Anolis sagrei: one gene and its partners. The protein of the gene in region 1 purifies or fractionates together with the protein of each later gene. This does not show direct contact. Links are inferred from orthologs where the notes say so. Each region holds a gene or a part of one and is shown in the gene's direction. Other genes may lie near its edges. The genes, in order: ASF1A, CDIN1, NASP and CHAF1A.

The links.
Region 2: the proteins of ASF1A (region 1) and CDIN1 purify together in Homo sapiens (affinity purification with mass spectrometry; 3 studies listed by BioGRID and IntAct, counting the BioPlex papers as one, with this or other methods). This does not show direct contact. The link is inferred for Anolis sagrei from reciprocal best matches to the Homo sapiens genes ASF1A and CDIN1.
Region 3: the proteins of ASF1A (region 1) and NASP purify together in Homo sapiens (affinity purification with mass spectrometry; 6 studies listed by BioGRID and IntAct, counting the BioPlex papers as one, with this or other methods). This does not show direct contact. The link is inferred for Anolis sagrei from reciprocal best matches to the Homo sapiens genes ASF1A and NASP.
Region 4: the proteins of ASF1A (region 1) and CHAF1A purify together in Homo sapiens (affinity purification with western blotting; 3 studies listed by BioGRID and IntAct, with this or other methods). This does not show direct contact. The link is inferred for Anolis sagrei from reciprocal best matches to the Homo sapiens genes ASF1A and CHAF1A.

What each region holds. Positions count from the first base shown.
Region 1 is NC_090021.1:88,891,204-88,898,984, reverse strand, and holds the start of ASF1A (histone chaperone ASF1A), read left to right. Parts: upstream 1-4,776; 5' UTR 4,777-5,082; coding exon 5,083-5,191; intron 5,192-7,781. Other genes in the region: DNA helicase MCM9, read right to left, coding at 490-664. UniProt on the Homo sapiens protein: Histone chaperone that facilitates histone deposition and histone exchange and removal during nucleosome assembly and disassembly.
Region 2 is NC_090021.1:293,736,382-293,744,345, reverse strand, and holds the start of CDIN1 (CDAN1-interacting nuclease 1), read left to right. Parts: upstream 1-4,962; 5' UTR 4,963-5,238; coding exon 5,239-5,339; intron 5,340-7,964. UniProt on the Homo sapiens protein: Plays a role in erythroid cell differentiation.
Region 3 is NC_090024.1:180,327,181-180,334,745, forward strand, and holds the start of NASP (nuclear autoantigenic sperm protein), read left to right. Parts: upstream 1-4,548; 5' UTR 4,549-4,719; intron 4,720-5,158; exon of another isoform or gene 5,159-5,257; intron 5,258-6,584; 5' UTR 6,585-6,591; coding exon 6,592-6,641; intron 6,642-6,928; coding exon 6,929-7,039; intron 7,040-7,565. Other genes in the region: AKR1A1 (aldo-keto reductase family 1 member A1), read left to right, coding at 971-1,036. UniProt on the Homo sapiens protein: Component of the histone chaperone network. Binds and stabilizes histone H3-H4 not bound to chromatin to maintain a soluble reservoir and modulate degradation by chaperone-mediated autophagy.
Region 4 is NC_090034.1:56,230,606-56,237,786, forward strand, and holds the start of CHAF1A (chromatin assembly factor 1 subunit A), read left to right. Parts: upstream 1-4,175; 5' UTR 4,176-4,437; exon of another isoform or gene 4,438-4,530; intron 4,531-7,181. UniProt on the Homo sapiens protein: Acts as a component of the histone chaperone complex chromatin assembly factor 1 (CAF-1), which assembles histone octamers onto DNA during replication and repair.

The sequences.
Region 1 (7,781 bases):
GTAGGCCAAAACACCTGAGAACCCACTGGTTGAGAACCACTGGTCTAGAAAGTCTTCACCTAGGAGCCCTTTCTTAGACCTAGAGAGAGGACACCCTGGGCTACACAGCATCAGGAGTAATGAATCACGTCATTAGCATTCACTTGTAGTGCCTTGACTCACAGTGCCTGCCTCTGGAGAAGGATCCCTCAAAACTAATAATTTGGACTTGCTCAACTCTATATTCATCGCAAGGCCCTTTTTCAAAACACCTTTTGTTTCGTTCTCAAATAGAGGCAGAAAGGGGAGGGAAGCATCTCTCTTCTGTGAATGCCTAAGCTGCCACTATGGACCACACTGGTTCACATGGAATATCAGTGAAAGTGTCAACAGACAAAAATGAAAAAAAGGGGGCACAGATGCTAATTCATAGCACATAAGGAAAAACAGACACTTACCCAAAGGGCACAGATGCTAATTTGTAGCACATAAGGAAAAACAGACACTTACCCAGCTTTTGCTACACTGATTGTTTGTTGCTCCATGGCCTCATGAATGCTGGTTCTGTCATGTTCTTTGATGCTGTTAAACTCGTCAATACAGCAAAGACCCCCATCAGCTAGAACCAACGCGCCAGCCTCCAAATTCCATTCTCCAGAGTCTTTCACAGCAGTGACCGTCAAACCTTCGGGGGGGGGGGGGGGGATGTTTTTTTTAATAATTTGAAAAGTTGTTTTTTTTACAGTGAGTGTTCAACTCTGGCTGAAGAGTAAGCTTTGAGTAATGCTTGTTAAGGTACCTTTCATACTATACAATTATTGCATTATAGTTACGGTGGTGTACAATGAAAACTCTGGAGACCATGGCTCAAATTTCCACTTGGCCATGAAACCAATTGGGTGATCTAGAACAAGTCACTCTCATAGGTCCTTTCCACACAGCTGAATAAAATCCCACATTATCTGCTTGGAACTGGAATATATGTCAGCGTGGACTCAGATATCTCAGTTCAAAGCAGATATTGTGGGATTTTCTGCCTTGGTATTCTGGGTTATATGCCTGTGTGGAAGGTGACGAAAACCTCTTCTGAACTAATCTTCCAAACAAAACCCTGTGATAGGTTCATTTTAAGACCACCTGAAGACAGAAATCACTTGAAAGCACACAAAACAACAACAGCAACTTCATTTCAGCTGCCAAGTTTCTACCCTATGAAGTCATGGGGAGCTCACTGGCTGATAAATTTAAATATCATTCCCTGAAAGGAAAAATCCCAGGATTTCGCAAGAGGGAACCGCAGTAGTCAAAGTGGTATGATAGTGCTTAGCACAGCGGGTTAAACCGCTAAGCTGCAGAAAATCCTGCCGCTCGAAAGGTTGGCAGTTCAAGCCTGGGTTGGGATGAGTGCCTGATGTCAGCCCCTGCTTCTGCTCACCTAACAGATCAGAAACAGAAATGTGAATAGATAAATAGATACCACTTTAAAGCCGGAAGGTAATAAAAGGGGTCCATAAGGACATGCCGACGATTCAATTGGGACGATACCTATAGACGTCAAAAGCTCTTTGGCGTGGAAGATGGAGTGACAACACCCCCCCCCCCCCCCCCCCCCGTGGCCAGAGTTGAGCACAGCCTCCAGATGCTGGAAGCAAAAAAAAAAAAAAAGATGAGAAAGCCTTTTCCTCTGTTTAAGTGTTGTCTGTCCTTGTTAACTGTATAACGGCATTGAATATTTGCAGTATATGTGTTCTATAATCTGCCCTGAGTACCCTCAGGGAAATAGAGAGGAATATAAATAAAGATGATGATAATGATGATGATGATTATTATTATTTGAAACATAACAAGATGAGTCCACAGCAGACAAGATCACTCTGCTGACTGTTGTATTGGATCACACGTCAGATTCCCAAGTGTCTAGTATTGGCAAATAATGCCTGCTGATCCCAGTAGGGTAGCCTTTTACAGCTGGTAATTTTGTCAGTGCCAATTGTGTTTAAGTGCAGGCCAAGGTCTTTAGGCACTGCTCCAGTGTGCTGATCACCACTGGGACCATCTTTACTGGCTTCTTGTTTTTGTTTTTGTTGTTATTATTATTAGTTGCTTAGTGTAAAAGATCTTATGGTCTTAGAACTCATGAATATGACAGAGTTACTGAATATAGGTGAACAGAAACAAGAAACTCCTGGCAATGATCCAGTTACAGAATGAGGGAGTTGTAGTCCAATGTACTAGGAAGACTACGTTGCGAACGTTTCCTCTAGATAAGGGTGCAATTGGGCAGCCTGAAAGATGGCTGCGGGCCACTGGCACAATGGAGGGATAAAAACAATTTGTGGTGTGGCCCTTCAGGCATGGGGATCCCCGGGTCTACTGCTTGGGGATCCAACAGTGCACCAAACCGTATAAAATTCTTCAAGGAATGCCTGATTCATAGCTCTGAGCCATGGCACTTAGTGGTGCCACACTGCATTGATTCTATAGTGTTGGTGCACCCTCTCCAAACTGCAATATGCTGAAAATGAAACTGATTTGCAGCTACTGTTTTCCCTTTTATGGACATAACTGACATTTTTGCCCTTAGCAACCAACCAATGTTGGTTATCCACGAGCCTGTTTATGTATGTAATGCAGGGTCACAATTGATTAAAAATAATCCGTCAGCAGTGACTTGAGAAACTTCAAGTCGCATATAGTGTGAGAATTGGCCATCTGCAAGGACGTTGCCCAGGGGATGCCCAGATGTTTTGATGTTTTTACCATCCTTGTGGGAGGCTTCTCTTATGTCCCCGCATGAGAAGCTGAAGCAGACAGAAGGAGCTCATACACGCTCTCCCCAGATTTGGACCTCCGACTTGTCGGTCTTCAGTCCTGCCGGCACAAGGGTTTAACCCACTGATAAAATATCATGCTGAGACTGAATTGAAATGTATTTATATGAGTTTGGATCCTTGCAGTATTAGATAACCAATTCTGTTTCCTTATCCATCCCTCTCCCTCCACACACATTTCAGCAGACTGCTTGTCCTTGAAATCATAAATGTCATTTGAAAGGGAGCTGCAGCGGGTTAAACTGCTGAGCTGAAGAACTTGCTGACAGAAAGGTTGGCGTTTCAAATCTGGGGAGCGGGCTGAGCTCCCATTGTTAGCCCCAGCTTCTGCCAATAGCAGTTTGAAACATGCAAATGTGAGTAGATCAATAGGTCCCACTTATGTGGGAAGGTAATGGTGTTGCATGCAATCATGCTGGCCACATGATCTAGGAGGTGTCTACGGACAACGCCAGCTCTTCGGCTCAGAAATTACCATTATCTTTGCATTAAAGCCTTGAATGCACTGGTTCTCAACCCAGCCAGTTTACCAGCTGTTGAGATGAGAACCGGAGGCTTGCAAGGTGAACCACTGCTTTAGTGATTCACCCACGGGCTGCCAACAGAACAACAGAACTGGAGTGTACTTCCCCCACACAACCAAGACAATACCACGATCAAATAACCAAGAACACTGAGTGCCATGTCCCACGACTCAGATAATGAATAGCAAATGAGTAATAAATACTCCATAAGCCACACAAGTGAATAATCAGACGCTACTTCACAATACAGTCATAATTCACATGCTGAACAAGCACTGACTAGGAAACATAGAGATAAATTGTCCAGAAAGTCAAATCATTATAAGCCAGCCTCATATTCATCAGGAAATAGCAGTGTAGGACAGGTGACTAAAATGATCAAAGTTCTGGAGAACAAGCCCTATGAGGAGCAGCTTAAAGAGCTGGGCATGTTTAGCTTGCAGAAGAGAAGGCTGAGAGGAGACATGAAGGCCATGTATAAATATGTGAGGAGAAGTCATAGGGAGGAGGGAGCAAGTTTGTTTTCTGCTGCCCTGGAGACTGGGATGCGGAACAATGGCTTCAAACTACAGGAAAGTAGATTCCATCTTAACATGAAGAAGAACTTCCTGACTGTGAGAGCTGTTCAGCAGTGGAACTCTCTGGCCCTGAATGTGGTGGAGGCTCCTTCTTTGGAGGCTTTTAAACAGAGGTTGGATGGCCATCTGTCAGGGGTGCTTTAAATGTGATTTTCCTGTTTCTTGGCAGGGGGTTGGACTGGGTGGTCTCTAGGATTGTAGGCATGGGCAAACTTTGGCCTTCCTCCAGGTGTTTTGGACTTCAACTCCCTACCAGCTGTTAGGAATTGTGGGAGTTGAAGTCCAAAACACCTGGAGGAAGGCCAAAGTTTGCCCATGCCTGGTGTAGGCTGGAGGCTCTTCCACATAACTTCAGAATATGGAGGCAGAAATTCCCACATTATCTGAGTGTGGACTTAGAATCATAAAATCCTAGAGTTGGAAGAGACCTCGTGGGCCATCCAGTCCAACTCCATTCTTCCAAGAAGCAGGAAAGTTGCATTCAAAGTAACCCCGCGAGATGGCCATCCAGCCTCTGTTCAAAAGCTTCCAAAGAAGGAGCCTCCACCACACTCCGGGGCAGAGAGTTCCACCGCTGAACAGTTCTCACAGTCAGGAAGTTCTTCCTAACGTTCAGATGGAATCTCCTTTCTTGTAGTTCTGAGCAAATATTGTGGGATTTCCGAGATATAGGGCGGCGTGGAAGGGCCCTGGCTGCAGTCTGGATGGCGTGGGATGTTGGGCACTGAACCCGGGAAGCCTTGGTCAAGAGGAGGCAGCTCCCTTGTCTCCCTCGGCTGCTTCTCCGGCAGGTGGAGCGCCAGGCGATGCTTGGCTCTGCTTCCAAGCCGGGCGCCCTTCTTGCTGGGCCCGGGAAGGAGCGGCCTCGCGGCGGGAGCAGCCAATCCGCGCCTCCGCAAGCCCGTTTCCACGCGCGGAGTGGGCCCGCCCGGGGAAGGAAGAGCGGCGCAAAGAGGCGAGCGAGCGAGCGAGCGAGGGAAAAAGCGAGAGAGAGGAAAGAGCTCCCTGCGAGGGAACCAACTGGGGGAGCGTGGCTTGGCAAGGGAAGGAGACAAAGCGGATTAGGAGCGGGCTCACTCCCTGGGAAAGTTTCCCCAACTCCTGGCTGGCTGGCTGGCTGGCTGGGGCCCCGGGGCCCTCTTTGGAGGAGGAGGAGGAGGAGGAGGGGCCATGGCCAAGGTGCAAGTGAACAACGTGGTGGTGCTGGACAACCCCTCGCCCTTCTACAACCCCTTCCAGTTCGAGATCACCTTCGAGTGCATCGAGGACCTCTCCGAAGGTGAAGGGCTGCAAAGGGAGAGAGAGGAGGGAGAGAAGGGAGAAAGAAAGGCACAAAGACAGCACTCAAGTTGGGAGGCACTTGTTGGGCCAAGGCTGGGAGCAGCCATGTTGGGCAGCCCTAGGGCGGGGAAGCTCATTGCACACACAGGAACACGCCTATAGACTTCTACACACACACTGAAGTTATACACATAAACAGTTGTACAGACACTTATAGAGAGGCATGCTCACACAATTGCACAGAGAAACACTTATGCAGAGACAAACACTAGAACACAGACACAGGCAAACACTTGTACACAAACATATTTATGGAGACATACAGTAACACCTTTGCACACACAAACACTGCTGGGAGCAACCATGTTGGGTAGCCTTAGAGTGGGATTGCAGGGGTCTAGGCTCTTTGCACACACAGGCACACGCTTATAGACTTCTATATATATACACACACTGAAGTTATACACATAAACAGTTACACAGACACTTATAGAGAGGCATACCCACACATTCACACACCGAAACACTTATGCAAAGACAAACACTGACACAAACACTACGACACACACACTTATACACATGCAAACACACTTGTACACAAACATAGCAATAGAGACACACAATAACACATTTGCTTATGCAGAGACAAACACTGACACAAACAAGAAAACAGTAGAACACAAGCTCACTTAATAGACATGCAAACACACTTGTACACAAACACACTTTTTTTGGCACACAGTAACACACAGAGACAAACACTGACACAAACACAGGCTTACATGCAAACACTAGAACACTGACACACTTATAGACATGCAAACACAGTTATACACAAACACAGTTATGGAGACACACAATAACACATTTACACACAAACACTTACGCAGAGACAAACACTGACACAAACAAGCAAACAGTAGAACACAGGCACGCTTATAGGCATGCAAACATTCTTGTACACAAACATACACTGTGTTTTTGCATACATAAGCACTTACACAGAGACAAACACATGCTTACATGCAAACACTAGAACACAGACACACTTATAGACATGCAAACACTTGTACACAAACACACAGTTATAGAGACACATGATAACACATTTGGACACAGAAACACGTAGAGACAAACACTGAAACAACCACACATTTACACGCAAACAGTAGAACACAGAATTGTGCCGTTTGTAAACCGCCCTGGGTCACCTTCAGGTTGAGAAAGGCAGTATATAAACATGGTAAATAAATAAATAAACACAGACACACTTATAGACATGCAAACACGTACATAAACATACATTTGGTTATAGAGACACACAAGAATACATTTGCACACAGGAACACTTACGCAGACACAAACACTTGACACAAACACTAAAACACAGACACACTTATAGACGTGCAAACACACTTGTACACAAACATAGTTATGGAGGCACACAATAACACATTTGCACACAGAAACACTTATGCAGAGAAAACACTGACACAAGCACACATGCTTGCATGCAAACACTAGAACACAAATACACTTACAGACATGCAAACACACTTGTACACAAACACACTTAGTTATAGAGACACAAAAATACATTTGCACACAGAAACATGCAGAGACAAATACACAAGGCACAAATACAGATATATGCTTACACACAAACACGTTTATACATGGACGCACACTTGTACAGACACATGTTTATATATGCAAGCACACTTTTATACACACACACACACAATAGTTACACAGACATTTATGCGGACATGGTAACATATTTGCACACAGAAACATTTATGCAGAGAAATACTGACTAACAAACAGACCCAACTACACACAAACACACATACGCTTGCATGCAAACATACTTATATATGGACACACACTGTTAATACAGACACACATTTATATATGCAGTTACAAACAGTTACACAGACACATGTATACTTACACTAACACACATTTGCACAGAAACACTTATGCAGAGACACACTGACAGACATGCAGAGACAAATACACACACATTGACACATGCACTCTTACATACAATCACATGTATACATGGACACATACTCTTACACACACACACATTTATATATACAAACACAGTTACAAACACTTACACGGATACATTGACACACAAACATTTGCACACAGAAACACTTATGCAGAGAAACGCTGACACATACACAGACACATGCAAACACACAGAGACACACTTACACAGACACATTTAAGGTATACAAACACACTTATACAGAAACAAACACACTTATACAGACACTTACATTAACAAACATTTACATGCAAACACGTAGCAATAAGCACTGACACATATACAGATACAAATACACACACACAGACATCTAAACACTCACACATACACTTACATGCAGATACTAGCAGGCACATATACAGGCACACATACTGACACAAACTTAGATATGCAGACACAGACTTACGTGCAGACATGTGGACACAGACTTACTTGCAGACATGTGGACACACACATACAGAGACATGCTTATTCACAGGCACACATACTTCCATGGCTCAATGCTGTGGAAACTTGTGAGTTGTAGCCT
Region 2 (7,964 bases), about 200 Mb from region 1:
GCTACCTTGGCAGCCACCTCTCCACCAAAGTCAACATCGACGCCGAAATACAACACCGCCTGAGCTCTGCAAGTGCAGCATTTTCCCGAATGAAGCAGAGAGTGTTTGAGGACCGGGACATCCGTAGGGATACTAAGGTGCTTGTCTATAAAGCTATTGTCCTCCCAACCCTGCTATATGCCTGTGAGACGTGGACTGTCTACAGACGTCACATGCAGCTCCTGGAACAATTCCATCAGCGCTGCCTCCGGAAAATCCTGCAAATCTCCTGGGAAGACAAGCGGACAAACGTCAGCGTGCTGGAGGAAGCAAAGACCACCAGCATTGAAGCAATGGTCCTCCAACATCAACTCCGCTGGACAGGCCACGTTGTCCGGATGCCTGACCACCGTCTCCCAAAGCAGTTGCTCTACTCCGAACTCAAGAACGGAAAACGGAATGTTGGTGGACAGGAAAAGAGATTTAAAGATGGGCTCAAAGCCAACCTTAAAAACTCTGGCATAGACACTGAGAACTGGGAGGCCCTGGCCCTTGAGCGCTCCAGCTGGAGGTCAGCTGTGACCAGCAGTGCTGCAGAATTCGAGGAGGCACGAGTGGAGGGTGAAAGAGAGAAACGTGCCAGGAGGAAGGCGCGTCAAGCCAACCCCGACCGGGACCGCCTTCCACCTGGAAACCAATGCCCTCACTGCGGAAGAAGATGCAGAGCAAGAATAGGGCTCCACAGCCACATGCGGACCCACAAGGAAACCCATGATGGAAGACCATCTTACTCGTCCAACGAGGGATCGCCTAAATACTCTCCCATAAAATAACTTGTTTTATATCATGCGCTCAACAGACAAAAATGAAGTAGACTTGGATAAAAAATAGCTTATTTGGTATACTCACAACCTTCATGTGTTCAGCATACACACGTACAAAACTTATCAATCCACCTTCAGATATGCTTGAGATAATTCTATGTGCCACCTGGCCAGGACATCTCTTACAGCAAAATAGCAAACAAGTGTGTGATCTGAGGTCTGAAGTAGTCTGTAATCAACTATAGTATGCATGGGCAAACTTTCTAACTTGGGGACCTTGTGGCAGGCTAGAGTGGGGTGGGCAGGGCAGGAAGGAGGGGGCTTGGAGGCAGAAAGTGAAGGAAAGACAGGAAACATTTGGATCCCAAAAGGGTTGGTACTGGTCAGGATGAGATGGTGGATGGGCGAGAAAAAGTGTATCTGGCGGGAACGAGAGACAGGACCTTCTCTGTGGTGGCCCCCTGGCTGTGGAACTCCCTGCCCCCTTCACATCGGCCCCCTTCCTCCTAACCTTTCAAAAAAAAAAAAAACTGAAAACTTGGCTCTTCAAGCAAGCTTTTGGAGCTTCAGCTTAATTAGATAAACTTGAATTGGAAAACGACCTAGGAATGGCTAAGACGACGGAACAAATGAGGACGGAGCATGATGACATAGTTTAAACATTTTTATTGTTCAATGTTTTGATGTTTTTAGATACATTGTAATGTGATGTTTTAATTTTATTGATGTATGTATTTTATATATGACAGCGAATTGTGCCGATTGTTCGCCGCCCTGAGTCGCCCTTGGGTTGATATGGGTGGGGTAAAAATGATGTAAATAAAATAAATATCTATTAGACCCCGTATTGCCTATTCATGATATAGAATCACAGAAGCCTAGAATTGGAAGAGACCGCCAAGGGCCATCCAGTCTAACCCCCTGCCCATGCCGGAAGACACATCAAAGAACTCCCAATAGACTTATGCGGAAAAGCTTCCAGAGAAGAAGATTCCACCACACTCTGAGGCAGCCTATGCCACTCTCCAGGAAGTTCTTCCTAATCTTTTCAGGCGAATTTCTTTCCCTGCCATTTGAACCCTTTGCTCCCTTGTGTCCTGGTCTCTAGACAGCAACAGAAAATTAGTTTTCCCCTCCTCCTCTTCCTTAATGGTTCGCAGATTATCTGTTGCTCTCTACCTTCTCCCAGCTAAACATCCCCCAGAAAGAAAGGAGAAAGGAAAAAGAGAAAAAAAAAGGAGGAAGAGAAGGATGGAAGGAAGGATGGGTGGAAGGGAATGGAGGGAGAGAGGAGGTGGAGAGGAGTAAGGAAAGACAAATGGGAATGAAGGAAAGCAGGAAGAAGAAAGAGGGAGAGAGGGAAGGAGGGAGGAAAGAGAGAAGGAAGGACAAAAGGGTGGAAAGAAGGAAAGGAGGGAGGAAAGGGAAGGAAGGACGAAAGGGTGGAAGGGAATGGAGGGAGAAAGAGGGAGGGAAGGCAGAGAGGAAGAAAGGAGAAGGAAGGGAGGGAGGGAGGGAGGGAGGAAAGAAGGAAAGAAGGAAAGAGAAGGAAGGAATGACAAAAGGGTGGAAGGGAATGGAAAGAGAAAGAGGAAAGGGAGAGAGGGAGGAAAGAGAAGACAAAAAGGAAGGAAAGAGAAAGGGTGGAAGTGAATGAAGGATGGAAAGAGGAAGAGGGATGTAAGGGAGGGCAGGAAGGAGAGAAGGAAAGAAGGATAGGATGGTGAGAGAGAGGAAGCCCTGGGAAGAGTCCAAGGGGCTGCTTCTGCTAACCAGGGCTAGGTTTGCCCATTCCTGTGCTATAGTGATCATTTGGTCTGCAGCCCCTTTTGTAACTTCTCGTGAACTATAGAGTAAAAAAAGGAATCTGCATACCAGAACATATATACAGGAAGCAATAAGCAACAGGATCATAGCTAAACATTGCTCGAGAAGACTTGAAGAAGGTTGTAATTTCTAACAAAGCCATGGATGGTTGAATCTGTGGGTGTAAAATCTGTGGATATAGAAGATTGGCTGCATTTTCCAGCTCAAGTTCCTCTGCATTGTTTCCATCCTCCGTCACTTTCTTTGCAATCATGATGATTCTTTAAAAAAAACACACAGTTAAGGAGCCCCCGGTGGCACAGTGGGTAAACCACTGAGCTGTTGAACTTGCTAACCGAAAGGTTGCAGGTTCAAATCCAAGGAGTGGCATGAGTTTCCACTGTTAGCCCCAGCTGCCAACTTAGCAGTTCAAAAACATGCAAATGTGAGTAGATCAATAGGTACCGTTCTAGCGGAAAGGTAATGGCGCTCCATGCAGTCATGCCAACCACATGATCTTGGAGGTGTCTACAGACAACACCGGCTCTTTGGCTTAGAAATGGAGATGAGCACACCACCCTACCCCAAGAGTCGGACATGACGAGACTTAATGTCAGGGGAAAACCTTTACTTTTACCTTTAAGAAGTAGAGAGAAGGCAAAGGGGGTCTGGGAAAACATAACAACAATTTGCTCAAAAGGAACTCTTTGGGATGACTTCCGAGTACTTCTGCACTGTAGAATTAATTAATTGCTGGACTGAGGCGCAGCTAGTTAGTAGCCAGCTGCATTAAATCACTACTGACCATTAAATCACTACTGCAACTGTCTTCCGGGCTGCATAGGTCAACAGCAAACTAGACTATTAATGGTCAGGAGCTTACTCTAACCTGGGCTGGTTTCAAAATCATGACCAAAGCCAGCCCCGGTTGGAGTAAGCCCCTGACTATTAAGAGTCTAGTTTGCTGTTGACCTATGCAGCCTGAAAGACAGTTGCATCTGTCAAGTACGAAATTTAGGTCCGCTTTATGCAGGGAGGCTAATTTAACTAATTTACGACACCATAAAACCTTCCAGCAGTGTGAAGAAGAATGAGGAAGTACTCCATCAAAGGACTCGGTGTCACAAGCGGGTGCTGAAGCGGCAGCTCCCTCTGTGGCCGGAATCGAGCATACCCTCATGAAGCCGGAAAAGCTGGAATGTTAAGTGCCTCTGTGTCTGTCTATATATGTTGGCATTGAATGTTTGCATTGGTATCTGCCCTGAGTCCCCTGCAGGGTGAGAAGGGCGGAATATAAATACTTTAAATAAATAAATAAATAAAGCACCTTGATGCCACTTTGCCACAGCGCAGCACTAATTCTGGCCTTCTCTGCCAAAGAGTGTTTGCTGGTGCCTCACCAAACAACTCCCAGGACTTCAGTGGGTGTAGATCAGGCATGGTCAAACTTGGGCCTTCTAGGTATTTTGGACTTCAACTCCCACCATTCCTAACAACGTCAGGCCTCTTCCTCCCCCCCCCCCCATGCCTGGCTGTTATGAATGGTGGGAGTTGCAGTCCAAAATACCTGGAAGGCCCAAGTTTGACCATGCATGGCTACGGGGAATGGTGGGAGTCTCAGTCCAAAATACCGGGAAGGCCCAAGTTAGCCCATGCTTGGCTGTTGGGAATGGTGGGAGTTGCAGTCCAAAATACCTGGAAGGCCCAAGTTGTCCCATGCCTGGCTGTTAGGAATGGTGGGAGTTGCAGTCCAAAACACCTGGAAGGCCCAAGTTGGCCCATGCCTGGTTGTTGGGAATGGTGGGAGTTGCAGTCCAAAACACCTGGAAAGCCCAAGTTGGCCCATGCCTGGCTGTTAGGAATGGTGGGAGTTGCAGTCCAAAACACCTGGAAGGCCCAAGTTGGCCCATGCCTGGCTGTTGGGAATGGTGGGAGTTGCAGTCCAAAACACCTGGAAGGCCCAAGTTGGCCCATGCTTGGCTGTTGGGAACGGTGGGAGTTGCAGTCCAAAACACCTGGAAGGCCCAAGTTGGCTTGGCTGTTGGGAACGGTGGGAGTTGCAGTCCAAAACACCTGGAAGGCCCAAGTTGGCCCATGCTTGGCTGTTGGGAACGGTGGGAGTTGCAGTTCAAAACACCTGGAAGGCCCAAGTTGGCCCATGCCTGGCTGTTAGGAATGGTGGGAGTTGCAGTCCAACTGGAGAAAGAGAAACTGGAGCTGGGACAGTCCCGTAGCAAGAGGGGAGGAGGACACTTTGGGTTGCTGAAGGAAGCGAGGCGAAAAGCCCGCCCCCGCCATTCCTTTCCATTCATTCCAGTTGAGAGAGACTTTTCCCGCCCAAAGCGTCGCTTTCGTTTCCTCCGCGACGGCGAAGGCGGAGCCGCCGAGCAGCGCATGAGCGGCGCTGGTTTCTGCCCTTCTGCGGGCGGGAAGCCGAGAGCCAAGGCCCTTTTTCGAAACAGGCATGTCTTGGCTGCCTAGGCTTTGCCCCGCTCCTTAGGCCGAGCCATCGAGGGCTGTATGCCGGGAAGCAAGCAGCGGGGGAAGGGAAGAAAGTAGTCCTTGTCTGCCCTTTGGTGCTTCCCTGTGTGCTGCGCTCTGCTTGTGGGAGGCAGGCAGGCAGGCAGGCATGCCGCTGAGCAAAGCCCAGTACGGAGAGGTGGCCCTCTTCCTGGCCCAGGTGGCCCCCACCAGGCAGAGCCTGAAGCAGCTGAAGGCCCGCTTCCCCAGGTGAGTGGGCCGCGGTGGTGGCTCCGCCCCTTTCTGCTCCCCGCCCCCTTTCTCGCTCTCCCTCCTTCCTTCCAGGAAGAGGCCCAGACAGCTGCTTTCGAGGGTGGAGGGGGCCTGCTTTGGTGTGTCTGGCTATCACGAAGTGAGTGCAATTCAAGGCCTAGGATGCAGAAGAGACGGCGAATAGGACAAGGAAAGGGGTGCATCTGCACAGTAGAATCCATGCAGTTGGACTCCACTTTGAACTGCCTGGGATTTGTAGTTTGGTGGGGCACAAGCATTCTTCGGCAAGGATCTTGTAAAACTACAACTTCAAGGGAGGAGGGAGGGGAGCACAGTGGTATTTATTTTATTTATCGTGTCATCAGCAACCAGACCATTGTGTTACATTTCTAACAGAAAAAAACAAACAAACAGATTAAAAAAAAACAAAACAAAAAAACCCCAAAAACACCAAATTTTGCAAACTTGGTAGTTGGTTAAATGTCCTTTGACCAGTATCTGGCCACTTGGAGTGCCTCTGGTGTTGCTGCAAGAAGGTCCTCCATCATGCACGTGGCAGGGCTCAGGTTGCATTACAGCAGGTGGTCAGTGGTTTGCTCTTCTCCACACTTGCATGTCATGGATTCAACTTTGTAGCCCCATTTCTTGAGATTGGCTCTGCATCTCGTGATGCCAGAGCGTAGTATGTTCAGCGCCTTCCAAGTCGCCCAATCCTCTGTGTGCCCAGGGGGGAGTCTCTCATCTGGTATCACCCACGGATTGAGGTGCTGGGTTTGGGCCTGCCACTTTTGGACTCTCGCTTGCTGAGGTGTTCCAGCGTGTGTCTCTGTAGATCTAAGAAAACTATGTCTTGATTTAAGTCGTTGACGTGCTGGCTGATACCCAAACAAGAGATGAGCTGGAGATGTCACTGCCTTGGTCCTTTCACTATTGGCTGCTACTTCCCGGCGGATGTCAGGTGGTGCAATACCGGCTAAGCAGTGCAATTTCTCCAGTGGTGTAGGGCGCAGACACCCTGTGGTAATGCGGCATGTCTCATTAAGAGTCACATCCACTGTGTGTTCCACACTGGGCATGTGTACTCAGCAGCAGAGTAGCATAGCGCAAGGGCAAATGTCTTCACTGTGTATGGTTGTGATCCCCAGTTTGTGCTAGTCAGCTTTCGTATGTTTTGTTTCTAGCGCCCACTTTTTGCTTAATGTTCAGACAGTGCTTCTTGTGGTGAGAGATAGATAATACGTATAAGCATAAAAATAACCAGTAGATGCCAAAAGTTAAATTATGGTAGGCTGTATTGAATACTATGTATCTGCTGTAAAATAAACAATGCATAACAAAGAAACCCCCACAACTTCAAGGATCTTGTAAAACTACAACTTCCACAGGCAGCTAAAGCTATTATATAACATATAATAAATCTAGAATAAATATAATGTAAAGTATGGGGAGCCCCCGGTGGCGCAGTGGGTTAAAACGCTGAGCTGCTGAGCTTGTAGACCGAAAGGTCATAGGTTCGAATCCAGGGAGCAGCGTGAGCTTCCGCTATCAGCCCCAGTTTCTGCGAACCTAGCAGTTCGAAAACATGCAAATGTGAGTAGATCAATAGGTACTGCTCCAGCAGGAAGGTAATGGCACTCCATGCAGTCATGCCGACCACATGACCTTGGAGATGTCTACGGACAACCTTTACCTAATATAAAGTATAATACTAATAGTATAATATACTTGTAGTGTACTTGTAGTGTACTTATAATATACTTGTAGTATATAATATACTACCGGTAATAGTATGATAGCTGGGTCTGGAAGCTCCGATCATTACTGAGATGCCACATCACTCCTTCGAGAGCGCTGTTTGCGCAAGAGAGACTCAGCTAATGTAAGCCAGGCTGGAGACAGATAATATAGAAGGAATGTAAGAGTTCTTTAATGGTGAAACCCTAACCTTGAACTGTACCATAAGCCTAAACCCTTACCCTAAACCAGAGATCCTCAAACTAAGGCCCGAGGGCCGGATACGGCCCTCCAAAGTCATTTACGCGGCCCTTGCTCAGGGTCAACCTAAGTCTGAAACGACTTGAAAGCACACAACAACAACAATCCTATATCATGAGCCAAAAGCAGGCCACACTTCCCATACGGCCCTCCAAGGTCATTTACCCAGCCCTCAGTCAGGGTCAACCTAAATCTGAAATGATTTGAAAGCACACAACAACAACAATCCTATCTCATCAGCCAAAAGCAGGCCCACACTTCCTACTGAAATACTAATAAGTTTATATTTGTTAAAATTGTTCTTCATTTTAATTATTGTATTGTTTTTAATTGTTACTGTACTACAAATAAGATATTTGCAGTGTGCATAGGAATTAGTTCTTTTTTCCCCCCAAATTATAATCTGGCCCTCCAACAGTTTGAGGGACTGTGACCTGGCCCTCTGTTTAAAAAGTTTGAGGACCCCTGGTATAGACAATACACAGACAGACAGAACAGAACAGAACAGAAGGAGGTGGTTTGTTTCAGCTGTTTTTGGTGCCACAGAAGGTTGGGCTTGAGTCCAGGGGGTGCTATTGCTTTATCCTGATTGACGAAGAGCCGTCAGGACTTCCTCCTTCCTTTTGG
Region 3 (7,565 bases), on another chromosome or scaffold:
GGGCTTTTGATTTAATTTTTATGTGTTTTTATGTGTTGAAAAACATGAAATCGGTTCAAAGCTGTTTTTGTGCTTTACATAAGATGCAAGGAAAAGTCAGAGTCTCAAAATCTCAAAGTTGTTTACCTCAGAGATGACTGATTTTATATAATGTGGAATCAGACCAATTCATGTGATATATTGCTTTAAAAATGGACAGCTCCAGTATGTATGCACATACTGTTATTTTCAGACGTTGTCTGTTAAATGGTGCTGAGAGTGGAGGAAAGAAATGCAGCAGCCACCATTTCTTCAGCTGTGTTTTGTTCATGTAACAAAGCATAAACACCTCTTGCTTGTTAGAAAGGCTTTCAAATACGGAGTTGTGCAAAATGCTTTGAAATGGCTAAAACATGACTTGTTCTGGATAAAGGAAGAGGATATGCATGGTAGTGACATCCTATTGTGAAAATGGGACCAAATAATCCTTTGCTGCCGTAAATGGTAAAAACAGATGCTTTACTGGTCCTGAAAAATTTGGGAGCTTTTTGTTTGCCCACTATTTCAAAAGGTAGCTTTATTATGAATACAGTGAGATGAAAATAGTTGTATTATTAGTATTGTGTGCCCCCTAGTGGCTCTTGGGATACAGAAGCAAAGTATACTATCAGCTCTGTCTTTTCAAGCATTAAATGGCTTTCCAAAAAAGTATTGAGCTGCTTTCCATGTTCAAAACGTCTTCCCTTTTCATTAGATTCTTCCTTCCAAGTTCAAGTTTTGTGTTTGCGTTTTTTTTAAAGTTCCAAACTGACCACCGTGTTGCTTCATTAGAGGTGTAAACAATACTTAAAATGCCATTTTGTTTTGTTTTTTTGCCCTGCTGATTTAACTCAGAGGGTCACTTTTAGAAATTGGTAGAAGTACATGACTGAGTTTAGTAATTAGGTACACTAAGAAATGCCATTTATTTTTCTTTCCTTGTCTTTCACAGGTGGAGGGAAAACTAATAGCAAGGGATGCTGGACATCCTCTCTATCCCTTCAATGAACCATATTGATTCCAGTAGTTTACAGCACTGAAGGAAACTACGTTGAAGACTGCCACTTCAATCTGATATTAGACTTTCAAAAATCAAAATAAAATGTTGTGTTTCTTTAAGAATGTATATTTACCTTTATTAATTAACACATGTTCAAAAGAAATCAGAGAGCCTGTATGTGAGACTCCTGAGTGTACTAACCTGCCTTGATCTTTCTTTACAAAGTTGACCATGATCCCCATTAGAAATACAGGCTCAATGCAAGGAAAAGGAATAAATTGTTGAAGGTGTACCGTGAAAGCATTTTAAAATGAAAATGCACCACAAGTTTGCACTTCTGCCTTCATTCAGAATTACAAAGCTATGCTTAGCAGTGTTAATGTTATCATTAATATGTATGTGTTCAGTAGTGCAAACCGGTTTGTAGGAGTGTAGTTAAAAGAGATGTCTCATATTATTGTTGCCTTTGTGGGTGGATGGGAATTTATCCTCCAACACAGTATTTTGATATCTCAATAATTTAGTAGCATATCTTTCTCCTTTTTTACATGGATTGTGTTATACATTAATTGGATGGATGGTGAAGTTCAGTATAACTGTAATTGATCTATTTGACCAGTTTTACTAAATCGGAAATATCCAGTATCCTTTGGAAATCATGATAACATCTGAACTGGACACTGTAACCTTTTGTTCTGAAAGTTTAAAATTGTCATCTTTATATTTCTTCTGTATTACAAGGATTCTTATGTAAAGTATTAGCTTAAAATGAAAGTTTTCCTTTTCAGCAAATAAATATCATTTTGTATATATTAGAAAATGCTCATAAATGATGTGGTTTTTAAAGAACCACCTCTTTACAATACAATTTGGTTAAAATCCTGTATGCAGTGCACTCTAGTGTGAGCCTTAGATGGCCTATAGCCCAGGCATGGGCAAACTTTGGCCCTCCAGTTTTTTTGGACTTCAACTCCCACAATTCCTAACAGCCTATTGGCTGTTATGATTTGTGAGAGTTGAAGTTCAAAATACCTGGAGGGTCAAAGTTTGCTCATGCCTGAGTTATAGGAAGAATTAAGGGTGCATCCACACTGTAGAATTAATTCAGTTTGAGGCCACTTTTAACCACCATGGCCCAATGTTATGGAATCCTGGAAGTTAAAGTTAAGGAACGCACCAGAGAAGGCTACAAACCTAGGAAAACTACGAGTCTCATGATTCCATAGTATTGTGTCATGCAGGCATGTAGCCGGGGGGGGGGGGGGGCTTGAGGGGCTTCAGCCCCCCCCCCCCCCCCCGAAATTCTCATGGTGGTTCGCGAAAAGGCCTTACTGGTGCATTATTTAAACTGTTATGTTTATTCATATCATGATCTGATCAGCATACTCAGTATATCCCATATGCATGGGGGTATTGGGGTAATGATACAAAAGGTTTGCTAGCCTAGACCCTCTTTCACTCAGCCCCCCCCCAAACTCAGCCCTCCCCCGAAACCCCCCAGAAATTTTTTAGCCCCCCCCTCCCCCCCAAAACAAAATCTTGCCTACGGGCCTGGTGACAGTTAAAGTGGTGTCAACATGCATCAGTTTCACAATTTAGATGTAACCTAATAAGTGTTCTTTTGATGGCTTGGTAGGGCAGGCCCATTGGGTTTAATTTCATTTAGTCTAGCTTCTTGTTAATTCAATTTCATTTCGCTAAACTATGACTCAGGAACACACTCACAACCTTTAACTCTTAGATTGTGTTGTCGAAGGCTTTCATGGTTAGAATAACTGGGTTGCCGTGAGTTTTCCAGACTCTATGGTCATGTTCTAGAAGCATTTTCTCCAGACGTTTCGCTCACATCTATGGCAGGCATCCTCAGAGGTGAGCCTTCGGTGGCACAATAAGTTAAACCCTTGTGCCGGTAGGACTGAAGACCAACAGGTTGGAGGTTTGACTCCAGGTTGAGCTCCCTGTCAGCTTCCCATGCGGGGACCTGAGAGAAGCCTCCCACAAGGATGGTAAAACATCAAAACATCCGGGCATTCCCTGTGCAACGTCCTTACACACGGCCAATTCTCTCACACAAGAAGTGACTTGCAGTTTCTCAAGTCGCTCCTGACATGGGAAAAAAATCCTCAGAGGTTATGAGGTCATGGTAGTGACATCCTATTATAAAAATAGGATCAAATAATCATTTGCTGTGGTAAATGGTAAATTCAGATGCATTACTGGTCTTTTCAACGAAGATCAATGGTATGATGACATGATGGCAACAGTCTTGGACAGCAATGGTTCCCAAAGTGACCCACTTAAGATGTCAAACGGATGTGTTATTGCCCCAACTTTATTTTCCATCTTCATCGCTATGATACTTCACCTTGTTGATGGGAAGCTTCCCACCGGAGTGGAAATCATCTATCAGACAGATGACAAGCTATTTAACCTCAGTAGACTGAAAGCCAAAACCAAGGTTACAACAACATCTATTATAGAACTCCAGTATGCTGATGACAAGGCTGTCTGTGCGCATACAGAAGAAGACCTACAAGCCACTCTAAACACCTTTGCAAAAGCATAGGAGAAGCTTGGCCTGTCATTGAACATTGAGAAAATTAAAGTGCTCTTCCAGCTTAATGGTGTAACATTAGAAAATGTCGACCATTTCCGCTACCTTGGCAGCCGCCTCTCCACAAAAGTCAACATTGACACTGAAATACAACACCGCCTGAGCTCTGCGAGTGCAGCCTTTTTCCGAATGAAGTAGAGAGTGTTTGAGGACCAGGACATCTATAGGGATACCAAGGTGCTTGTTATAAAGCTATTGTCCTCCCAGCCCTGCTATATGCCTGCGAAACGTGGACTGTCTACAGACGTCACATGCAACTGGAATGATTCCATCAGCGCTGCCTCCGGAAAACCCTGCAAATCTCTTGGGAAGATAGGCGGACAAATGCCAGCATGCTGGAAGAAGCAAAGACCATCAATTCCGCTGGACCGGCCATATTGTCCGGATACTTGACCACCGTCTCCCAAAGCAGTCGCTCTACTCCGAACTCAAGAACGGAAAACGGAATGTTGGTGGGCAGGAAAAGAGATTTATAGATGGGCTCAAAGCCAACCTTAAAAACTCTGGCATAGACACTGAGAACTGGGAAGCCCTGGCCCTTGAGCGCTCCAGTTGGAGGTCAGCTGTGACCAGCAGTGCTGTGGAGTTTGAAGAGGCACGAATGGAGGGTGAAAGAGAAACGCGGCTGAGGGGGGAAAGGACGGGGCCTGAGGCTGTTAGGAATGCTGGGAGTCCAAAACACCTGGAGGGCCCAACTTTGCCTATGCCAGTTGTAGATGCACTGAGATGGGAAATCTCACTCATTGGACTACGTTTCCCGGAATGCCCAGCGCTCCCTCGTGGATTATGCGGCTCTTACTGTCAAAGGTTTCCATGCCTTTGGAATTGCATTCTGATTGGACGATGGTGGAGCTGGGCGGCCGCGAGGCATGCCGGGAAAGGTAGTTCCAGGGCGCTGAGAGCGTGCCTCGCGCCGCCGGGGCGTGTCCTCAGGGGCCTATATAAGCACCCAGAGGGGCGGTGGGCTGCATTCGCCTGCTGCCGTGTTTGGTCCCCTTTTTTCCTTGGTGAATTTTTTATTGTCGGCCGTCCTTTTCCAAGCCCGAGGAGGCTCGAGCCAGGTTTTGTCTCTCTGAGGGGAAACGAGGTAAGAAAAGGAAAAATGGGGCTCTTGACTTGGTTCGCGTAATGGGGGAAGGAATTTCTCCTCAAGAGGGGCGTTTTTGGCTTTGCTCCCGCTTCAGCCTGAAGTAGGCGCCTCCACTCTATTGTGGAATCCTTTCCCCCTCGCCTTTAAGCGTCTCTGCATTCTCTATTTGCAACCCTCCCCCTCCTCTTTGTGGTTTGGTACGTTCCACTTTCCCTGGGTGTTTGGGGGCGGGGGGGGCGGTTCTCCTGCAAACCGAGGCGCCACGTGACCCCGCTCGAGCCTTTTGGGCGCCATGTTTAGCGGTTCCCTCGGCCGGCGCGTGCGGAAAAGCGAGGGGAGGGGCCGCGGAGGGGAGGGAGCGCGGTCACGTGGTAGAGGGGCTCGGCCAGTCAGGAGCGGCGGTTGGGATTTGGCGCCAAAAGGTGGCTCTTGAGGGGAAAGAGGGGGCGGGGCAAAGCGAGCCTATTGTTTGCTGAGGTGAGCAACTTCTTCCCCCTTTCTCTCAGGAAACTTCCCAAGCTGCTTGGTTTCTAGGGTGAGCCTGACTCTAATCTATGTTCTATGTCTCCCAAATATGTTTTAAGTAGCCTGGCTCTTATAAGTTTTAATAACGTAGGGCTTGGTAAGATGCGTGTGTATAGGTGTGCATATAAAGCAGGTGTTTTGTACTTCAATTCCTAACAGCTACTGAAGTCCAAAGAACCTGGAGGGCCAAAGTTTTCCCATGCCTGATATAGGTGTCTGTGTATATCTAAAAGAATTAGTCCCTGTTTGATTTTGAAAGCTAAACAGGGTCAGTCTTGGTTAGTTCTTGGATGGGAGGCCACCAATGAGTACCAAAAGCTGTATTTCAGTTAAAGGAACTGGCAAACCACCTCTAACGTTTTCCTTTCCTATGGAATTATGTGGCCATTCAACAGGTGACTTGAAGGCACATTCACACACATAAGTACCTGTCACTGAATGTGTTTTATTTGTGTGTATACGGATGTGCACACATGTATAAATATACAAACATACAGAGTACAGTTAACCAAAACTCTCAGGCAAGCAAAAAAAAAAAATCAAAGAAAGACTTTGAATTTCTAAAGCTCATTTTATAAGATAATGAAACTTACATTAAGTGAAGTTTGTCTTAACTCAGTTTCAAATATTGTATAGCAATATTAAGTCAATATAGAGTTTGTGGTAAAGTGTGAGATATGTAGTATTAGTAAGGTTTACTCTGAAGCAATCAGGAACTGCATTTATCTGGCACTTGCCTGTCTTCTTATATATTATAAATCTGAGCACATAATGCATTTGGGCTAATGCATGGAGTATTACAAGCCCTATGAGAAGCAGCTGAAATAGCTGGGCATGTTTAGTCTTCAGAAGAGAAGGCTGAGAGGGGTCAGGATGGTCATGTCATAGGGAGAAGGAGGGAGCACGCTTGTTTTCTGTTGCCCTGGAGACTAGGACGCAGAACAATGGCTTCAAGCTACAGGAAAGGAGATTCCACCTGAACACTAGGAAGAACTTCCTATCAGAGCTGTTCAGCAGTGGAATTCTCTGCCCTGGAGTAAAGTGGAGGCTCCTTCTTTGAGGCTTTTAAACAGAGGCTGGATCTGAATGCTTTGAATGTGATTTTCCTGCTTCTTGGCAGGGGGTTGTATTGGATGGCCCACGCGGTCTCTTCCAATTCTATGATTTTGTGTCTCCATATCAAAAGAAAATATAATTAGTGTACATGCAAAAATTGGTTATCATATCATCAAGCCTGTAAAGTATTTTCTATTTGAAAGTGCTACAGTATTTACTGCTATGGAACTAACTGCTATCTGGTTGATAATGTGTAAGCTGTTCTAATTTCACATCTTCAGTTTCAGAATGGCAGAAGAATCTGCTGCTCCGTCCACGTCTGCTGACAAAACTGAGAGGTGAGATAACAGTTGGATAATCATAGGAATACATCGTGTATATATTCAAAAAAGGTAGCGTGACAGATATAATTAAAGCAAAGTCAATCATGGTTTTTTGATCTGTGAAAATATTGGTTCTATTTGATAGATCTACCATAAGAACAAATCCTGAATATTGATGGTAGTGTTAGTTGATGGTGGTAAACAGTGGCATGAGTGGGTGGTTAATTTGGCTGTTGCTCTCAAGTCGCACACAGAATGGCTATAAAGTGGTGTACTAATGAAATCTGCTTTCATGTCTGCAGTATGGATGTGGATGGAGAAGCCAAGAAGCTACTTGGTTTGGGACAGAAAAACCTGGTAATGGGAGATATTCCAGCTGCTGTGAACGCATTCCAGGAAGCTGCTAGTCTGCTGTAAGTAATGAGATATGATTGTCACAGAGAACCAATATGCCTGGGTAGGCATCATGGTGTCCATCATATCTATCAGCCCCTGTTAGCACAAATTTGCTTTTCCCAGGAGTAATAATTAGAGCCTCGAGAAAATGCTTGAATGCTTGCCTTTTTTGTGTGTAAACCATCCTGAGTCCTTTCAGGAAGAGAGGGCGGTCTAGAAATAAAGTTTTATTATATTATTTATAAATATAATTAATTTTTTTACACACCAAAACAACGCCTAGTTCTTGCTTACTGTTGCAGGGAGGTTTGGGGTGTGTTCTAAATAGATATTTGTATTGCAGCTTATTAAATATAAACCCATCCTTGAGATGTTTAGGATGGTAAAACAAAGCAGGCAGGTTGATAGTATGTTCAGGATGTGTACTAGAGAACAGATGAGGGATATCCCTTGCTATGCTTAATTCACCTTGTAGCCAATGGCTAATTCATATGTCATCTTTTCCTGATAGTTCTATGCAGCTGGGTCTGGTTTAGGTAGAGA
Region 4 (7,181 bases), on another chromosome or scaffold:
CTACCAAACTCACAAATGTTGTATTTTGTCTGTTTGTTTGCTTTGTTCTGTTAGAAATGTAATATAATTGACTGGTTGCCCTGACATGACAAATAAATAACATAAATAATATTATAAATAATAGCATAAGGTAGGTATGTGGCCAGCATGCCTGCATGGTGCACCCTTACCTTCCTGCCAGAGTTAAACCTATTGATTCACTCACATTTACATGTTTTCGAACTGCTAGGTTTGATTATGGCAACCGGACGGACTGATTACTGGAAAATAGAGGGAGAAAATGTGGAGGCAATGACAAGGTTTGTATTTCTAGGTGCAAAGATTACTGCAGACGCAGACTGCTGCCAGGAAATCCGAAGATGTTTACTTTGTGGGATGAGAGCAATGACCAATCTTGATAAACTAGTGAAGAGTAGAGACATCACACTGGCAACGAAGATCCGCATAGTTAAAGCAATGGTATTCCGCGTAGCCACTTTGGATGGGAGAGCTGGACCATAAGGAAGGCTGAGCAAAGGAAGAGAAACACTTTTGAACTGTGATGCTGGAGGAAAATTCTGAGAGTGCCTTGGACCGTAAGATCAAACCAGTCCATCCTCCAGGGCATAATGCCTGACTGCTCACTGGAGGGAAGGATATTAGAGGCAAAGATGAAGTACTTTGGCCACATGAGAAGACAGGAAAGCTTGGAGATGACAATGATGCTGTGGAAAAAGGAAGGAAAAAGGAAGAGGGTCCGACCAAGAGCAAGATGCATGGTATCCTTGAATATTTGTATTCAATATTTGTATTCAATATTTGTTGATCCAAAAATCTGTATCTCCTGAGGAGAACAAATTCTCAAGTGTATAACCTTGTAAGTAACTTAAATGTTTTGTAACACATGGTGTTTAATGGATATGTTCAACAAATATTGGTGTAATAGCAAGTGTGAAGACTTAACAAATTTCTTTAAGTACATTTTAGTATAAGATGTTCTATATGTATGCAACCGGAGCAAAATATTGATTTATACATTCATTTCAGTCCACCAGAAGAAGGCCTGAGATAGGCCGAAACCGGTCGTGGATGGCTGATCTATAAGCTACTCAACATAAGAAGATATGACATTGATATTATTCTAAAGAGACTGTACCAGAATTTACATAATAGTGTTTGACATCACTGTGAAATTGAACAGTACAACATGTCTATATAACTGCTTGTTGAATTCCATTATTGTTTACTCTATGTATAAGTGGCATTTTTGTTGTATATAGTGGACGGCTGATCTATAAGCTACTCAACATAAGTAGATACGACATTGTTATTATTCTAAAGAGACTGTACCAAAATTTACACAATATTGTTTGACATCACTGTGAAATTGAACAGTACAACATGTCTATATAACTGCTTGTTGAATTCTATTATTGTTTACTCTATGTATAAGTGGTATTTTTGTTATATGTACTTATTCAGGAACCCATTTATATTATATTAGAGATATACATTTGGACAGGTAAGCTGGGCTGGAACCTTTTAGAGCTTTATTGGCTAAAGCCAGCACTTTGAATTGTGCCCAGTAACAAACTGGCAGCCAGTGGAGTTGACGTAACAGAGGGGTTGTATGCTCCTTGAACGCTGCTCCATGAGCAATCTGGCTACTGTCCGTTGGACCATTTGAAGCTTTTGAACAGTCTTCAAAAGCAACGCCACACAGAGCATGTTGCAGTGGTTTTTGAGTTATGCTAATTCCACAAACAAACATTCATTTTTTATTTATATAGACTAGCTGTCTCCTGTCACGCATTGCTGTGGCCCACATGGGGGTTCTGTGTGGGAGGTTTAGCCCAATTCTATCGTTGGTGGGGTTCAGAATGCTCTGTGATTGAAGGTGAACCATAAATCCCAGCAACTACAACTCCCAAATGTCAAGATTCTATTTTCCCCAAACTCCGCCAGTGTTCACATCTGGGCATATTGAGTATTCGTGTTGCTGGGTTGTTGTAGGTTTTTCCAGGCTATATGGCCATGTTCTAGAGGCATTTTCTCCTGACGTTTCACCTGCATCTATGGCAAGCATCCTCAGAGGTAGTGAGGTCTGTTGGAAGTAGGAAAATGGGTTTATATATCTGTGGAATGACCAGGGTGAGACAAAGGACTCTTGTCTGCTGGAGCTAGGTGTGAATGTTTCAACCGACCACCTTGATTAGCATTGAATGGCTTGGAAGTGCCTGGGGGAATCTTTTGCTGAGAGTGATTTGATGTGCCTGATTGTCTACTCTCTGCTGTTTTGCTGTTGTAATTTTTGAGTTTTTAAATACTGGTAGCCAGATTTTGTTCATTTTCATGGTTTCCTCCTTTCTGCTGAAATTGTCCAGATGCTTGTGGATTTCAATGGCTTTTCTGTGTAGCCTGACATGGTGGTTGTTGGAGTGATCCAGCATTTCTGTGTTCTCGAATAATATGCTGTGTCCAGGTTGGTTCATCAGGTGCTCTGCTATGGCTGACTTCTCTGGTTGAAGTAGTCTGCAGTGCCTTTCATGTTCCTTGATTCGTGTTTGGGCAATGCTGCGTTTGGTGGTCCCTATGTAGACTTGTCCACAGCTGCATGGAATACAGTAGACTCCTGCAGAGGTGAGAGGATCCCTCTTGTCCTTTGCTGAACGTAGCATTTGTTGGATTTTCTTGGTGGGTTTGTAGGTGGTTTGTATGTTGTGTATTTGTGTTGCGTTTGGTCCAGATCCATTACTGTTTGAATCCACAGTGATCTCTGGATGTAGGTGAACTACATTATAATTCATTCATTTAATGAGGCGATCCCTCGCTTTCCGAGGAGGATTGTCTTCCAGTATTCTTGTGGGTCCGTATGTGGCTGTGGAGCCCTATTCTTTCTCTGCATCTTCTCCCGCAGTGAGGGCATTGGTTTCCAGGTGGAAGGCGGTTTTGGTTGGGGTTGGCTTGACGCGCCTTCCTCTTGGCACGCTTCTCCCTTTCGCCCTCCATTCGTGCCTCTTCAAATTCTGCAGCACTGCTGGTCACAGCTGACCTCCAGCAGGAGCGGTCAAGGGCCAGGGCTTCCCAGTTCTCAGTGTCTATGCCAGAGTTTTTAAGGTTGGCTTTGAGCCCATCTTTAAATTTCTTTTCCTGTGAACTACAATTCCAGAACCAAAGGACACTGCCCACCAAACCCTTCCAGTATTTTCTGTTGGTCATGGGTTCCGGCCCAAGGTACCTATCCGACCGCATCTCTGCCTATGAACCCACCAGGACTTTGAGATCTTCCGGGGAGACCCTGCTCTCGATCCCGCCTGCTTCTCAAACTCGGCTGGCAGGGACGAGAGATAGGGCCTTCTCGGTGGTGGCTCCTCGGCTGTGGAACACCCTTCCTACGGACCTTAGACTAGCACCATCTCTAATGGTATTCCGCAAAAAAGTGAAGACCTGGCTGTTTGAGCAGGCGTTCGAATAATTAGTGCAATGACTGGTTAATGAACACTGGAATGGAACGATGGATGACGAATCTGGAACATGTTTTTGATGACGAGACGACAGTGAATGGGTATTGTAGTAACTGTTTATGAATTGTGTAATGTGTTAGGTTGTTAACTGTTTCTATACTGTAGCACTGAATTTTTGCTGTTCGTATTTGTTGTGAACCGCTCTGAGTTGCCTTCGGGCTGAGAACAGCGGTATATAAGAAAGGTAAATAAATAAATAAATAAATGGGAGAACTGTGTGCCAAGTTTGGTTCAATTCCATCGTTGGTGGGGTTCAGAGTGCTCTTTGATTGAAGGGGAACTATAAATCCTAGCAACTACAACTCCCAAATGACAAAATCAATTTTTTGAGTGAAGGACATACATTGGGTTGTTAGGTGTCTTGTGTCCAAATTTGGTGTCAATTTGTCCAGTGGTTTTTGAGTTCTGTTAATCCCACAAAACGAGCATTACATTTTTATTTAGATAGAAGGTTTTGGAAGCATTTCGGAGATGCAATCCTTTCTGTTTTTCACGTTTCACTATGTTACACCTCGAGAGAATGAGTTGGAAGGCAAGCGCGCATGCGCACATCCCCTTCGCCTTCCCTCCAGCACTTGTCGCGAGAAGGGCCAGGAGCCGCCAAGAGCCAATCGGGAAAGGAGGGAGGCGGCGCGCGCGTTGGGTTGGTCACGTGCCCCGCGCGTCCCGCCCAATCAGAGCCCTGGAGCGCGAAGGTGGCCCGAACTCCCGCCAAATACAAGCGAGGGAGCCTGGTTGGACGGCGAGCGGGAAGGGTCAGAAGGGGAAGGCTGGCTCAAAGTAAGGCAGAAGACGCGGGGAAAAGCCGGAAAGAAGGACGAAGGAAGGAGAAGGGCTTCCTATGCGGGGAGCGGAAGGCAGGAAGAGCCTGGGCTGCTTCCTCCCGCCTTTTGAGGGGAGAAGCCGGCCAGGAAGGAAGAAAGACCTTGGTGAGGTGAGCTGGGGGAAGAGCGGAAAGAGAGGCCTGGCCTGTTGGAGTAGAAAGACCTGCGGGAAAGGGATCATTATTCAGAACAATACGAATGAAGTGAGTTGCTGTTTTATTGTATGTTACTAGCCGTCTCTAGCCACGCGTTGCTGTGGCCCAGTCTTGTATTCTGGAAAATGATGTAATGAGAAACTGTTGGTTTCTAATGCCTTTATGCTTTGTGAGCAAACAGTATTTTCTGCTGTTTCTTTGTCAGTGTTGATTTGGAGATTGTCTGGTTTGCCTACTCTGGAACATGCAACATATAATTGTCCTTCTTTAGGGGTCCCTTTCAAATCTATGATACTATTTCTATCATATACTTATATATATGTGTGTGTGTGTGTGGATTATATAGATCTATCTATTTATTTATTTACTTTGCTTGTATACCGCAATTTCTCAGCCTTGTAGGTGACTCAACGCGGTTTACAACAAGAGCAAAAGTCAATCCAACAGCATACAAAGTTTAAAAACCATTAACAGCATAATATACAAAATGACACATCAATAACAACACATTAATGTCTCGTAACTAGAATCGTGATCCAATTTGTCTTCCATAATTCCGTTTCCTATATTCATCGTGTACATTGCATTGTTTAACCGAACGCCTGTTCGAACAGCCAGGTTTTTAGTTTTCTTCGAAACACCATTAATGAAGGGGCTGATCTAATGTCCATGGGAAGGGCGTTCCACAGCCATCTATGGCTGGATGGCTCTTTGCTTTCTTGCCCTGGTGAAGGGAGTTGGACTGGATGGCCTTAAGGTAGCATTTCTCAACCTGAGGGTCGCGAGAGGGTGTCAGGAGGGTTGCCAAAGACCACCAGAAAACAGTCATGGGGGTTCTCTCTGTGTGTGTGTGGGGGGGGGGGGGGGTGTTCTGTGTGGGAAGTTTGGCCCAATTCTATCATTGATCTTTGGATGTGGGTGAACTACAACTCCAAAACCAAAGGACACTGCCCACCAAACCCTTCCAGTATTTTCTGTTGGTCATGGGAGAACTGTGTGCCAAGTTTGGTTCAATTCTATTGTTGGTGGGTTCAGAATGCTCTTCGATTGTAGGTGAACTATAAATCTCAGTAAGTACAACTCCCAAATGACAAAATCAGGGTTTTTTTGTGTGATGGTAACTCCTTGGGTTAGTAAGTGTCTTGTGGCCAAATTTGGCGGCAATTAGTCCAGCAGTTTTTGAGTTATGATGTCACTCAAAATGAACAGAGCGTTGTATATGTGTGTGTGTGTACTATTACATATTATTTTTATTGTTAAAGTGACTTGTGTATGTGAAGAAGCCTTGTGTGGGATGGGTGCCTGATGGATGTGTTTCCTGAGGGAGATAATTAAGTGGGTAATAAATAATGCATTATTTATCTATTTTACTATTTATTATTATTATTATTTCCTATTCTCATTAAAGTCACTTGTGTGTGAAAAAGAGGCAAGGAAAAAGCCTTGTTTGGGAGGTTTGTCAAATGTGTTTGTGAGGGAGATAATGAGGTGGGTAATAAATCATGTATTGTTTATTAATATTATTATTAGTTTGTACTATTATTGTTATTAAAGTGAGTTGTGTGTATGGTGAAGCCTTGTGTAGGATGTGTGTCTGACTGATGTGTTTGAGGGAGATAATGAGGTGGGTAATAAATACATACAGTAGAGTCTCGCTTATCCAACATAAATGGGCCAGCAGAATGTTGGATATGCAAAAATGTCGGATAATACGGAGGGATTAAGAAAAAGCCTATTAAACGTCAAATTATGTTATGATTTTACAACCTAAGCACCAAAACATCATGTTTTATAACAAATCGACAAAAAGGGAGTTCAATACACAATAATATTATGTAGAAATTACTGTATTTACAAATTTAGCACCAAAACATTGCAGTGTATTGAAACAGCTGTGGATCTGGGCGGGAGACAGACTGCGTTGGATGAGCGAAGGTTGGATAAGGGAGGTTCTACTGTATATTATATATTCTTCTTATTATTAAAGTGACTTGTGTGTATGGAGAAGCCTTGTGTAGGATGTGTACCTGACTGGTGTGTTTTTGAAGGAGATAATGTGGTGGGTAATAAATAGTGTATAATTACTATTATTACTTTTATTAGTAGTTTTTACTATTTTACTATTTATTATCATTATTAAAGTCAGTTGTGTGTATGGAAAAGAGGCTAGGAAAAGCCTTGTATGGGGTGTGTGATGTGTTTGTGAGGGGGATAATAAGATAGGTAATAAATCATGTATTATTATTATTTATTCCAATTATTGTTAATTTTTACTATTGGCTGATGTGCCCGTAAAGGAGGTAATAAGTTGGGTATTATTATTATGTTATTCTTTATTATTACTATTATATATTTATTCTTACTAAAGTGACTCGTGTGTCTGGAGAAGCTTTGTGTAGGATGCCTGTCTGACTGATGCGTTTCCTGAGGGAGATATTGAGGTGGTTAATAAATGTATTATTTAGTATTACTATTACTTAATTTTGTTGTTGCTGTTATTATTATTAAAGTAAATTGTGCTTATGGAAAGAGGTGAGGAAAAAAGGCTTGTGTGGGATGTGTGTCTGATGTGTTTGTGAAGAAAATAATGTGGTGGGTAATAAATAATGTATTATTATTTATTACTATTATAATAAATTTTTAATTATTGTTATTGTTATTATTATTATTATTAAAGTGGAGGAAAGCCTCAACGTTTT